Linked DNA regions of Mus musculus: region 1 is reported to be linked to region 2. The links are microRNA targets in miRTarBase. Many come from high-throughput screens and were not tested one by one. Region 2 holds a microRNA gene; the other region holds the end of a gene's coding sequence.
Evidence for each region. Region 2 holds the annotated microRNA mmu-miR-409-3p (GAAUGUUGCUCGGUGAACCCCU, at 3,527-3,548, shown strand). A microRNA usually pairs through its seed, bases 2 to 8, with sites in the 3' UTR of a target mRNA and lowers its output. Matches are read on the target gene's strand: a 7mer-m8 pairs with bases 2 to 8, a 7mer-A1 pairs with bases 2 to 7 and ends in A, and an 8mer does both.

Region 1 (6,835 bases), not on the chromosome of region 2:
GCAATGACCTAATGTTAGCCCCTTGTAAAGCTGGATAAAGTATATTACAGTTCCCTGAAATTATAAAAATTGGTGTGAAAAACAGCTTGAACAATATTTTGTGCTATTTTTCCATGAATCTCAGCTGAATCTTAATATCAGATTCATAATAGATTTGAAATGATTTTGTATAACATTTGCCAGTGAATACTGTATTTAAACATGATGCATTAGACTCTTTTATTTTATAGTTATATATTCCTTATTCAGTAAGTAAGCTGCTATATGCCTGAAGAGCTAGGCCTCAAACACGGGCCTTTGTGACAACTCATTAGACAGGGGAACATTGCTTACATTTGGTCTTAGCCGGAAGACCAAAGAGCATTGGACTGTTCAGCTAAGATTTAGTGAGGTGGATGTCTTTTTTACTGCGTTTGAAAACATCTATATGTAATTATTTTGTCTTTATAAGGTGCAGTATGTAAGGTAGCTAGATTCCTATTGAGAGCAGTGATTACCTGCCAAACCTAGGCTCTCCCACACCCCTGAGTTTCTCCTGCTTTGAAAAGCATGACACTTACTATGTTTTCTCAGAATCCTTTTTGAACAGGAATGCTGTTGATCCTAGCATTCAAATGCTGTAGTCACTGCTAACAGCCATGCTCACTTGAAGAGTGCAATTTTTTCCTCCTCCAATTCAGTTACTGGCCAGAGACTGTCTGGCTGCAAAGCCAAGAATACTCTTGGACTATATATTATTGATTCCCTTGATTTTGTATTCATAATCTTTGAAATATATTTTAGTATCTTTTTTCTTTCCAGGGAAGAAAGGTTCTCACAAATACTCCAAAACAAGGAATCTAACACAATTTTCCTTCCATTCCTACATAAGTAAAATGAAGGCTAAAAGGTTCTGAAATTTAAAGTACTGTGCTCACAGGGCCCCATTCAGGTGACTGGGTGACATCTGTGTAACAAGGTCCTCTCTCTTCTCCAGTCTTTGAATCATGTTACTTCCTACATAAAGAAGGCTAAGAGTCTACCATTCCTTTTTCTTTCCCATCTTTCAAGGTGGCTGGTATTTCAACTCCTGAAATTGGAACTTGTAGGTTTCATTCTATTTACCATGTATTATTTGATCTGGAAACAAAGCTCAAGGCTGTATGCAGACCTTGCTTCATCATTGACTGTGAAAATAGAGGGCTTTTATACGGTTTTCATGTATAAACGAGCCACTAGTGAGCTATGGCCGTGTTTGGCATATTTCCTTCAATAAGTATGATGAGCAAAGAAAAATACAAGCGTTGACATAATGGTCGTACATGGGATAACCCATTTTGGATTGCGTATGCTTCTTCCTGTCCACTATGCGATTTTTAATCTGTAGAAATGTATTTCCTCTGACGTTTTAAGACAGTATTCATCCCCTGTAGAGATAATTAGAAAAGATGAGGATTCTAAAGACTCTACTCACCATTTGGACGCATTTTTATGTTTGATTTTTAGGGTCTACGTTTCAAAAAAGCCCATGTCACACACCCTGAGCTGAAAGCTACCTTTTGCCTGCCTATTCTCGGTGTGAAAAAGAATCCATCGTCCCCATTATATACAACCCTGGGTGTGATCACCAAAGGTACAGTTATTGAAGTGAATGTGAGCGAGCTGGGCCTTGTGACACAAGGAGGCAAGGTGATTTGGGGTAAGTAAAAATAAGTCTGGTGTTGCTTTTCTGTAGTCCTTTTCTGAGTGTTAAAAGATATAACAGGTGCTGGTGAGATGGCTCAGTGGTTAAGAGCACTGACTGCTCTTCCAAAGGTCCTGAGTTCAAATCCCACAACCACATGGTGGCTCACAACCATTCGTAGTAAGATATGACACCCTCTTCTGGTCTGTCTGAAGACGGCTACAGTGTACTTACATATAATAATAAATAAAATTTTTTTAAAAAGTATCTAACAATTTTCTAATAATTTTCAGCAGTTGGGCTGGAGATATGAGGAACGAAACTTTCACTGATTTAGTTCCTACTTTTATTGCTCATATGTTTGAAAATGAAGATATGTTTTAAAATAGGTGTTACACTGATTTGAAAATCATTTAGGAAAAGAAAGTCACTGTAAAAGTTAACAGTAACATAATGTATTGATAAAATAGAGCTGGCTGCCATTTGTGAACGTAACTTATTCTTGAATTAGCTGATCTTCTGCTCATTTCTTATATGAATAGGGTATTTAGAAATGTGAGATTTAAAGTTTTCTTCTTTAAGCTGATTTTTGCTAACTCCTTTTCTTCCTTTGATTTGGCTTTCCTTAGGAAAGTACGCCCAAGTTACCAACAATCCTGAGAACGATGGGTGCATAAATGCGGTCTTGCTGGTCTGACAGTGACGTCACTCATACACGTCATTCCACTCACTGCTGAAGACCACACCCTGTCAGGAAAACACCGTCCCTGGGGTCTTTCTGAACCACCGAGCAGCCTTACCTCATGTGCAGTCATCAAGCATTTACTAAGTTGTAAAGGAAAATAAAACTGCCCAGTTTGACAGTTGGTCTTTAGTTTGGGGCATAACGGTTTACATGTTAATAAAATTTAGTGACTGAGTAGCCAAGGACACAGAAGCATACTAAAAACTATGTATGCAGCAATACAAGTCTGTCACAATTGAAAAGCCATCAGAATAGTTGAAAGTTCCTGTAAAGGTCAAGTATTTTCCATTGTGTTGCCATTAATCCTAAAATGTGGAACATTTTAAACACATGGTAGTGTTTAAATTCATAAACAAGTAGATTAAAAGTCATAGAGAAGGTAAATTAGATGAAAAGAGTGCACAATTCAGTGCTTTCACTCATAACTAATACCTTATATAGTACTGCAGTGACCTCCAGTGTACTTCCTCCATTTCCTATATTCTAAAAATAGGGAGCTCGCTCACTACTGCTACAACAATGTGAACAATTGGGTTAGATAATTCTCCACCATGTACCAGTGACTTGAGATGTGGCAATTAATTAGATTGAAAGGTCATGATTTGGGGTTATAACTTAAATCCACGTTCTTAAGAGTGTCTGTATATTAATCTGTAATCACCATATTGCTTTAAATTGTTTATTTTTTAAATCTACTTTCATAATACAGGCAGTGTGATTAGCTGTGCCTTTAACAGAATCATTCAATGTCTAATATCTAAGCACATCTTCATGAATGCAACTCAGAGGAAAGGAAATTTAAAACACAAGACTAGAAAACAATCACAAAACACAAGTTTAATTACTATTTTAAACATTAAGGGGGAAAAAAAAACCCTAGCAAAGAAACAAACCATAAGTTCTCCATAAGACTTGGTATTCTGAATATTTTTTTTAAAGTTTTTAGAACATACAAAGATATTAAAGGAAAAGGCGGGCCTAGTTCCTTGGAAAGGACTGACCAGGAAAGGCAGAGTGACTTCACTTTCTTATAATTAGATTTTAACATTGTCTACCAATCAGAACGGGCAATGTGTATTTATCTGCCTGAGTTACGGTGAAAGGAAGCCTGACTCCAGGTGATCAGTGGCTATTGCTGAAGTACATTTGCTTATTTTTTTTTTTAGGATTGAAACTAGCAAACTGTCGTATACTAAAAAGTCATGGGAGGAAGTATTAAAACAAGCATGACTTCTGTAACAGACCACGCCCAGAACCACCAGATTGCAAATGGACATCAAAGCAAAAGCTGCTCTCTTCAAATAGTTACATGAGTAGTATTAGTACAAATTCCTTATTTACATCAAAATCTGTTTCAGTTTGCTGGTGTGACCACAGCTTAGGTAATTCCAAAGGAGAAGCAACTTCAGAGATGTTTAGTTGGTAGAAGGGCTTAAAGGTCTACTAAAGTCACAAACCACTAGGTAACACTACACTGGTCACCTGTTCAAAGTAGACCATTAGTGACTAGAAGTCCTCCTTAGCCTCTGCAAATCAACGGTAAAAGGAAAGTAGACACAAAGTGGAAGAATGTGAACACACAGAGAAGACTGACATTCTAAGTCATGCCATTTGATTTTATTTTAAAAAATCATAATAGAATCTCTTTAAAAGTTTTAAAGGAGCTTTACAATAAAATTCTTAAATAAATTTTTGTGTGGTCTAACAGTTTAAGTTTGAAAGTAGAACTAAACTTCTGGTAGTACACTTCTGCTATGTTACATAAGGAAATATATATGTATATACACCAGAAGGGAGCTTCCTTCTCCACATTCATGACTCCGAAACAGAAAGTACCAGTTCACAGGAGACTACACAACGGGACAGAGCACTCAAACAGCTGCTTGAAATCTCTGCAGTCCTCATGCCTTGCTACATTTGTTTAGATTCCCTACTGAACATAAATTATTACAAATTTTATATAAACATGTTACTGAATATGAAAGATTTTTTCCTGTGACCTAACTTTTCCTCTATGATCTATACAAACTTTAACTTCTGTCACAGACAACAAGGTAACAAGTTTTCTTGTATGCAGAGCAAAATGTTTGAATCCCATCTTTATCAAACAAGTTTAGGAAGTATATAAGTTTATACTGCTAGTACCCAGTGTGGTATGTGAAAATTTTTCTTTAACTCTAGAGACTATTCATACATTGAGCTGCCAGTGAGTGCAATCTACTAAAACACTCATTTAAAAAAGTAATGGAAGGGGAACAGGAGCCAAAACAAAATACCAAAACAACATATCCAGAAAACTTTAAATGTGTGTTAAAAATCAATTTCTGAATCTTAACATGCCTTTCAAATGCTATCCCTGGTTGAGATATTAACAAATTTCTCTAAACGTGTAAAACAGCATCAGCATTTGGCAAATTTACTAATTAGTCAAATCTATTTTATAACAGCTTTTACCAAAAAAAAAAAAAAAAATGGTCAAAGTATAATTTTCACTTAGAATGAAATTATCTAACATCTAGCCAAAATTAAAACAACAGGTAAGTGCAAGTGTTCTAACTTCAAGGGTTTGCTATTTGGTTTGCTGCTTTAAGGTCTTAACTAATTAATCAGACTTTTCTAAAATACCAACATCCCTAAATTAAAATGTAAGACATGAAATCACCAATCAGCTGACCAAAGACTGAAATGACTGAGCATAAACTCACAAGTACTTCATGACTCAATTTCTCAACATTTCTCTCACAAGGTTCAAGCTGTTTCAAAAACAATTCTAATTGGTCTCAAAATAGTCTCTAACTGAAATACAAATCAAAGTATGTGGTATTCCCCAAGTGCCACTGACCAATTTTCTATGAATTCTAATAACCATTTAAAAACCAATTGTCATTTTTTTTAAATATTTCTAAAATATCAAATAGCCAGGTGGTAGTGCTGCATGTCTTTAATCTCAACACTCAGCAGGAAGAGGCAGATCTGAGCTGGAGGTCTGCCTGGTTTACAGGATAGTCAATGCTACACAGAGAAACCCTGTCTTAAAGTATACAAGACCCAAAGGGACCGCAGAGTCAGAATCTAGGCATTTGTACATCTCACTGGGCAGCTTTATTCCTTCCATCTAGGACTAAAGGTGTTTGGATTGAGTTCTAGACCTATCCAAATATGGATACAGGGCATAACAGGCAAGCTGGGTGGAGGTCTGTTGATAGAAGAGTCACAGTGAGACAGCAGTGAAGAATTAAGGAGGCTTGGGGAGGGGCCTACACTTCTGCACTATCTGTGATCAGGACGACAGTCCAAATTCAACTATATATTAACTTCAATTACTTGAGGTGTTTAAAAGATAAAAGTGTACTCAAGGTTTTCAGCATCTGAAAATATATAGAGAAAAAAATTATAGCAAACTAATACTTCATGTGGAAGTATTAAATTTAAAATTTAAATTATGTACCCACACACCACAGTTATATCTTTAACAGTACTAACACCAGATATGCAGCCTAAAGTACTTCTCACAGACTTGAACTCCATCTACAACTAACATTAAGAAATAAAAACAAAAACCATCTTCATAAACCACTGATCATAAATTTCTATTTTTTGTTCTCTAACTTGATACTATATTTAATTAACTGACTCCTTTTGTTTAGGTATGCTTACACCTAAAAGATGGAGATTGTTTTGATACTAAGATAAAACTTTGAGAATCCTTACCAAATTTTACCATTAAAACCCTTAGTATAAAAGATTCCTATGATCAAAGTCTAATAGTTCTTTTTAAGTTGTATTTTTAAAATATTAATGATTAGATGCTCCACCTGCTGAAGAAGAATATGACCTGGAATTCCAAAATTGACACATGGTTCATAAACGAAAGTTACTTAGAGAAAATAGCCTGAAAAATGAAAAAGAACAGCGAATCCTTGTTCTAAAGGAAAGAGAAAACCTGCATGTGTAAATAAGTTCCAGTGGAAGGTTTAGAATCTGTCCTGTGCCCCATGCTGTTTATTAATTACTGCAGTTTAAAACAACAACAATAACAACAAGGAGGATGTGTGAACTGCATTGCTCCTTCATTCAGGTCAGCTTGGCTTTCTTCTTGCCAGGGCCCTTATGCCCTTTGGCCTTTCTTCTCAGATTGCGCCTGTCTACTACAGGAACTTCCACTTCAATCTCCTCTGAGCTGCTATCCACAGCTTTCTCTGCTGACTGTGTAAACTGTTCCAGGTGCTCAGAGGACGCTTCAGACTGTTCCTCTGACTGGCTCTTCTGTCCTGCATTCTGTGGAAATGGCGCGTCTTCAAGTTCTACCTCTATCAGAGAACTCTGAGTAGCCGATGGTTCCTGGGCCTCAGGTGCTCCCTCCTCACCCTGGTCTTCCACTGAGGAAGTAGTGTTGGGTGATAAATTCTGAGAGACTGGTTCTTCGG
Region 2 (6,906 bases):
CTAATGGTGTGACCTTGAATGAGTCAGCCTGTCACCTGTCTGTGCCTCCGTTTGTCTGTCTGAGAGTGTTAATGGCTGCTTATAAGGTATGTATTCACGCTGAATGTGTGTTCAGTATTTTGAGAGTGCCTGGTTTCCCCCAGAAAGTTGGAAAACCATTGGCTTTTATAATGATAGTTGTTGCATGAATGTCCTTACTCTGTGGATCTCTTCCCACCCTCTAGAACACAGGTTCCTTGAGCTCAGAAACCCCATCTAATGCTCGTAGGTGCACACAGGACGAATGATGCTGAGTGAATGGCAGTTGGACATGTTTTCTTTGTTGAACCCTCTTTGAGGCCTCTCAGAAGCCAGAGAGAATAGAGGACGGTGCAGACACCTTGTACCCTGATGCTGCTGGTTTGTCTGTGCGGTCTCTCAGGATACTGCCTTGGAAAGGGAGTTATCCTCTTTTAGGTCAGCCTTCATTGGTGGGCAGGATGGACCCTACTACACAGAGAGTCATGGTTTCTTCTATGTCAAACCTACCTCAGGACTTCTCTAGGAGAAACACTTTGGGATTCAGACTTGGTGTCCGTGTGCTTCTGGGTGAGTGACCAGTTTCTGGCCAAAGCCTGGATGTCTGTACAAGTCTCTGGCCACCTGTAGGCAGGAGAGAACTCTGCAAGTCAGTCCATTGCTAGTCTGCTTTGCAGTTGGACCTGGGGGCTCATCGGAGGTAATGCCAGCCTCCCTAGAGGGTGGGAGTCAGGGAGCCAGAGCCGAGGGAGGCAGGGCTGCCTGGGGAAGAGGCGCCCTGCTCAACTCTCGGCCTGTGCTGACGTTTGATTCTTGAGCAGAGGTTGCCCTTGGTGAATTCGCTTTATTGATGTTGAATCACACAAAGGCAACTTTTGTTTGAGTATCAAAGCCTGCTTGGGGTGGCATTGGGGACACGTTACAAAGTTCTGGGGTCTCTGCAAATGTCATGTGCTAGAATGGAAGGTGTGGATATGGGGATGGTCAGGAAGGGGTGTGGCTCAGAACGCCACGTGACCAGACATGTAGTCCCAGGAACCAATGGAGAGATGCCAATATCTACTCCCTGACTCTTCTCAGCCTGAATCCTCTTTGTCACACCAGCACCTAGCCCCCCTAGTTGCAGACACACTCGCTGTTCTATCTCTACTCTGAAGATACCTTGACAAAATGAACTCTGTCCTTTGACAGTGTCAAGGACAATGGCAGCCTTCCCTCCCCACCCCCTTCCTCTCCTCAACTCACTGGGTCAGGAGTGCTCACATACCATCTGTTTTTCCCCCCTCCCACCCCACCCCCTCAACACACCTCTGTCTGTTTCTCTTTCGTCCTCATCGCTCACCAAACCTTGTTCTCCATTTTTGGATGGGTTAGGAAATGAATAGAGGCGACCAGCATTTCATCCCGTTTACATTAAATAATAGTGATAAAATAATCACAAAATAACACCACAAACTACCAGAATAGCTTGGAGGAAAATGTGTTCAATTGACTACAAATTGGCAGAAGAATCCAATTTTCTTGACAACATTTGAGCTGCGACATTTGACCTGGGGAAACAGTACTCTGTAGACATGGCAGCCGCAAGGGGCAGCTTCAGTAGTGGCGGATGCTATGAGCAGTAATATTTGTGGTAGATGAACGCACATTGAGGAATCAAATCTTCGTTCAGATTTTTAAATGGGAAAGAATTGATCCTAATGAAAATGATTTGAGGAAATAACAAGGGAAATAAAAGAAATGAAAATGGCCCAACAGCACAGTCAAGGAAGCTAAACAGGGAATTGGATTAGTTTAATGGAATTTACTTTAAAAAAAAAAAAAGGAAAGAAATGCATGTTTTTTTATGAAAATCAATGTGGGTGTGGTGTTTGAGATGGGGAAATCTATGGATATAGACTAGAGCTAGTGGGGTGATAAGAAGGACTGGTCACCATGTGGGTTTTTTTTTTTAATGTGGCTAAACTTTATTTTCCCATCCCAAACCTTTACAGAGAGCTTCATGGAGTATTCAGAAGCTGGCGGGTGTCACCTGGAGGATGTGACTGGGTACCAGTGCCAGAGCACGTGCCCACTGAGCAGTCTTCTTCACTTTCCTCGATCCTCATGAAACATTCCGGGTAAGACACTGGTTCTGGGGAGTCTGCTCTTGCCGAGCAGTTGGTACCTGGAACATTCTAGGGCCTGCCCTTCCTTGGGTTTCCATGTTGCCAGCTCCCAGGGCTAGGCTTAAAGACGTACCCATTGTTGGTGCTGAAGGGCTAGGCCCGTACGGGAGGTCATTTTAGAGTGGATGTATCCAGGGTCTAATATACTATCTGGGGTGTGATGAGCACCAGGTTTCATGGTGGCTCTCTTTCCAAAAGGATCTTTACCTCAAAGGACTCCAGAGGCTACATCATTGTCTTGGAACTGGTCAGTGGCTGGAGCTCTCTCCAGGACAAGTGCTTGGAGGAAGAACCTGGACAAGCTTCCCTCCCCATACTGTTGACTGGATCTTGTAGCTACCGTTAGCCACCATCATCGCCATTGTGTGCCTCTTAGGAGCATTTCCAGGAGGTGATGCCAGCTGGGGAAAGAGCCTCTGTCCCACAGGTCAGTTTCCAGAACACCTACATGAAGCTGCCCGTGGCGTCTTTTCCCCGTATGACACACTGCATGTGACCAGTCTCTTGCTGCCCTGCAGCAAGGCTAGAAGCCTGTGTGAACTCTTGCCAAAATCAGAGAAGGGATTCTGATGTTGGTCACACTCCAAGAGTTTTAAAATGAGTGGCGAACACAGAATCCATACTCTGCTTATGGCCTAAGTCAATGGATCCTGACCCTTACTGGAGAGCCCTCCCTGGCGTGCTCGTGCGGGGCAGCCATACACACTGGCACAAGGGGACCCTGCGGGATCTCCTTCCGCTGTTCTTTCTCTCCTCCCTCCATGTTTATCTTTGAAGCATTACTTGCTTGGTTTATAGGACTGGATGGTCAAGCAGTTCTTGCTATGACATCACCGTGGGGGGAGGGGGCAGGTGACAGGGCGGGGATGCCAGGGTCGTGGGGCTGCAGTGGTTGGGTGGGCCCAAGGAGGAGCATCTCTGGATGATGCAGTCATTGCCTCCTCGCTTCTGGAAGGCATCGTCTCTGGGAGGGTGGTGTGGTATATGCGCAGGGTCTCAGCATCTCCCTATCTCCAGCTTACAAAGGAGAGATAGAGTAAGCAGAGTTCTGCACCCACTTCTGCCCCGAGTCAGCTCCTCGCTACCTGGGTCTCAAGGTTGTCTGGGAAGGCTTTAGATATTCTTGGAAGGTGAAAGGGTGGTAGATTGCACTGGGGAGGTGATGGAATAATTGCTTTCACGTGGTGGAGGGTGGCTCCTCACTGAATGGGGAGTTATAATCTCTGAGGGGCTCCAGGATGGTTCTTCTGGAAACTCAGCCATCGGCCTCGTTCTGAGCATCCGAGCCTCTCCGTGGTACTCGGAGAGAGGTTACCCGAGCAACTTTGCATCTGGAGGACGAATGTTGCTCGGTGAACCCCTTTTCGGTATCAAATCCCTCCAGGGAGGCCACCTCAGGGAAGACCATGGACTCATCTCGCTCTGGGGTATGGGACGGATGGTCGACCAGCTGGAAAGTAATTGTTTCTAATGTACTTCACCTGGTCCACTAGCCGTCGGTGCCCGCTGCAGCCTGCGCCCAGGATGTCACAGCCTCAGCTCAACACCTCTGCTGGTACTTGAAGGGAGATCGACCGTGTTATATTCGCTTGGCTGACTTCGAATAATACATGGTTGATCTTTTCTCAGTATCAACGCTCAGCTTGGAGAAGCTCTTGGAGTTGCAGCCCCTGTGGGGGTGGGGACAGCATGGTGCTTCTAGGTTGCTGCCTCCGCGGGGAACTGGGCTGGGTGGAACAGGCTGTGTGCTGCCTGTGTCAACCCTACTCACCATTTATATGCAATCCCCCCCTTCCCCCCAGGACAGCTTCAGGTGGTGATTCCAGCTCCAGGGTTGCTGCGGTCAACACTGGGTACTTGAGGAGAGGTTGTCTGTGATGAGTTCGCTTTATTAATGACGAATATAACACAGATGGCCTGTTTTCAATACCACCTGCCACTCCGGTCACTCGGCAGTACATACCAGGTGTCACACCACTGCCCGGTAGGTAAATGCATGGACTCTGTATGACGCTTGTCACCCCCTCTTCACTGAACCTCAGCTCTGAGGAGCCTCCTGGGATCGCACCAACCTTGTAGGCTGGGCCACGAAGCATTGGCCAGATGTGCAATGGATGGCTGTCCACTTTCCATGCCTCTTTCCCGCCACAACAATGGGTGTTTGTCCCTGTCTAAGGCTTCCACCGAGGGCTGCATGCTCAAATGCCCTGTACCCTGGGTGCTTCTCAATACCATGAGGGCTTGGAGGGGCTAGCATGATACTTAGGGAAGAGCCAGGCCAGTTGGTTACACGTGCAGTTCCTAGTATCTGAGGTGAGATTGCCCGTGACGGGTTTCCATTCTTAATGCTGGTACAGTGCATGGTCACCTCTCTTTATCATTGGCTCTTACTGTGTGAGCATGGGTGTCAGGGGAGGGACACACTTTGCTGACCCACTGGACACCACTGATGGTCAGGCATGTAGCTGACTCATCCTGACCCAGAGCCTCACATCTCCTGAGGTGGGGGTTGGGAAGTCCAGAAGGGCATCTTAGAGGAAGAAGCATCCTAAGTAGAGTCCGTGCTGGTGGTACCTGAGCTAGCTTGTCTCTGAGACGTTTGTTTTCTATCTGATGACTATCCCACAGCCTACTTCTCTGCACCATGTCCTACCCTAGACCATTTCTACTTTGAGGCATTGATGCCAAGAACTGAAGCCTTTGTGTTGGTTGACTCTCTAGTCTGTATGTGAGACCATCCCTTGGCCTGTCTTGTCCTCAGTGCCACCCTGTTGGAAATAGCACAGAATGTCCTCCTGAGTCTACAAGGCAGTGATACCCAAGCTCTGTCCCTGCTTCACGAGCACAGGGGGCCCAGTAGGGATTAGCCTGCACTTCTTTTTTTTTTTTTTTTTTTTTATTTTTTTTTTTTTTTTCATTTTTTTTTTATTAGGTATTTAGCTCATTTACATTTCCAATGCTATACCAAAAGTCCCCCTTACCCACCCACCCCCACTCCCCTACCCACCCACTCCCCCCCTTTGGCCCTGGCGTTCCCCTGTACCGGGGCACACAAAGTCTGCGTGTCCAATGTAGCCTGCACTTCTTCATGTTTCCTCCAACTTAACACTCTGGCTCTGTCAGACTCCTGTGAGCTTACTGTAGAGGCTTGACCTAGAGTCTCAAGGACCCCAGAAAGTACCTGATCACACCCAGTAGGAGCCTTTGAAAGACAGGCTATAGATTTTTGGTATTTAGTAAGGCTCCCCAGGGTGGCAAAGAGCTCTTTCTGATTGGGCTTGCTCCCCATTGGAGCAAGTAGCACCCTCACCCTGGCAACTCCACCCTGCATGCTTTTTCTCCTCTTCTGGGCCTCCTCAGCAGCAAAATGCTCTTCCAACAGAGATAGTGGCTGCGCACCCTGGCTTGTACCTAGCACATGGTCTCCTTTAGATTTCTTCTCTTGTTCAGGATGGTCTGCCCAGGCGCCCTCTCTCTGGGAGTTGGTCCTGGTTACTGTCTCCCACAGTCCATCCCCCTTCCTTGGTCCTCAAGCTTGTAGGCCCCCTCCACAGGAGTTCAAGACTCGGAGGGGATCGTGTTCCCTGCTCTGCAGTGACAGTGCAGGCAGCCTGACACTCTTATCCAGCTCCTTCCTTTGTGATATGACATCAGACTGCTTGTCAGCTATGGCTCCCCAGGTGCCTGCTTTCCCAAACTGCCTAGTACCTTGGTTCCCAGCCTCTCCCTGACCCCAACCAAAACAAAACAAAACAAAACAAAACAAAAAAAAAAAAAAAAGAAGAAGAGAAAAGAAAAGAAAAGAAAAGAAAAGAAAAGAAAAGAAAAGAAAAGAAAAGAAAAGAAAAGAAAAGAAAAAAGCTTTAAGATTTCCCAAGGCAGACGAGGACCTTTCCTTTGCGTCTTTTCTCTTTCCTCTGTTTTACTCCCTACCCCTTCCCTCCCTCCCATCTTACTTCCCTGACTTATCTTCTGCTGTATTCTAAGCCTTAGGATCCAGGCCAGGTCTATAGTGACAGAATAATGGAGTGTGCTGATTGACTAATAGAGTCCCCAAAGGCAGAAACCATATTAGGTTAATCCCCAGGAAGGTGGTGAGCATGAAGCAGGAATTCCATAAGATGTGGTGGCTGATTCCATAAATATAGAAGCTGGGTTCACTTAGTCTTTGCATTTGTTAGAGGCCTCCCACCCCAGCTAGTCACCGATTTTTGAGACGTACAGCGATAGGGGACAGACAGGTCAGCTATGTCTGCGGGCTTTTCTTTACTTTTGTAGCTGGGGGTCTCATGCTAGGCTTCAAATTCATCTGAGCACAACCCCCACCCTCCACTCCGTGAACGTCTCCGTGGCAGCAAGCCAGAGGCCCCTCAGAGGCCCTCGTGCAGCAGGCCTGAGCTGCTGTCAGGGCTAATATTTTATGCATGGACCTAAGCAAATGGGAACATTTGGAGATGGAAATTGCTGTTAATGACACATCTTTGGAATATATTAAACGCGTGCAAGAAGGCTGCTGATCTCTCCATTTAATTGCTCCAGTGTAAGCGCAGTCACACCACGGCATCCACAGATAGGCTACCCCTAGTCTCTGCATCACCGATGGGGAAAGCCCCAGGTACCTCAGCCACCAAGGGAGTATTATGTACAAGATGGAATGTCAGCTGGGGTGCCAAGCAACCACCGACACGCACACTCCAAATTCATTGGAGACCCTAAGAGG

Region 1: miRTarBase lists Nsa2 as a target of mmu-miR-409-3p. Seed matches in the 3' UTR shown: 7mer-A1 at 3,261-3,267.

What each region holds. Positions count from the first base shown.
Region 1 is chr13:97,126,686-97,133,520 of GRCm38, reverse strand. Nsa2 (NSA2 ribosome biogenesis homolog) reads left to right here. Exons shown (of 6, transcript NM_021552.5): 5 at 1,486-1,678; 6 at 2,293-4,094. The coding sequence ends at 2,360. Fam169a (family with sequence similarity 169, member A) reads right to left here. Exons shown (of 13, transcript NM_001100458.1): 13 at 3,999-6,835. The coding sequence ends at 6,483. Among named protein-coding and RNA genes, the nearest start is that of Nsa2, 7.8 kb to the left of the region's middle.
Region 2 is chr12:109,739,678-109,746,583 of GRCm38, forward strand. It overlaps Mir409 (microRNA 409), which reads left to right and starts at 3,481; the gene lies at 3,481-3,559. Mirg (miRNA containing gene) reads left to right here. Exons shown (of 8, transcript NR_028265.1): 3 at 2,013-2,138; 4 at 2,385-2,613; 5 at 3,680-3,741; 6 at 3,989-4,170. It overlaps Mir541 (microRNA 541), which reads left to right and starts at 2,732; the gene lies at 2,732-2,821. Mir412 (microRNA 412) reads left to right here and starts at 3,612; the gene lies at 3,612-3,691. It also overlaps Mir369, Mir410 and Mir377.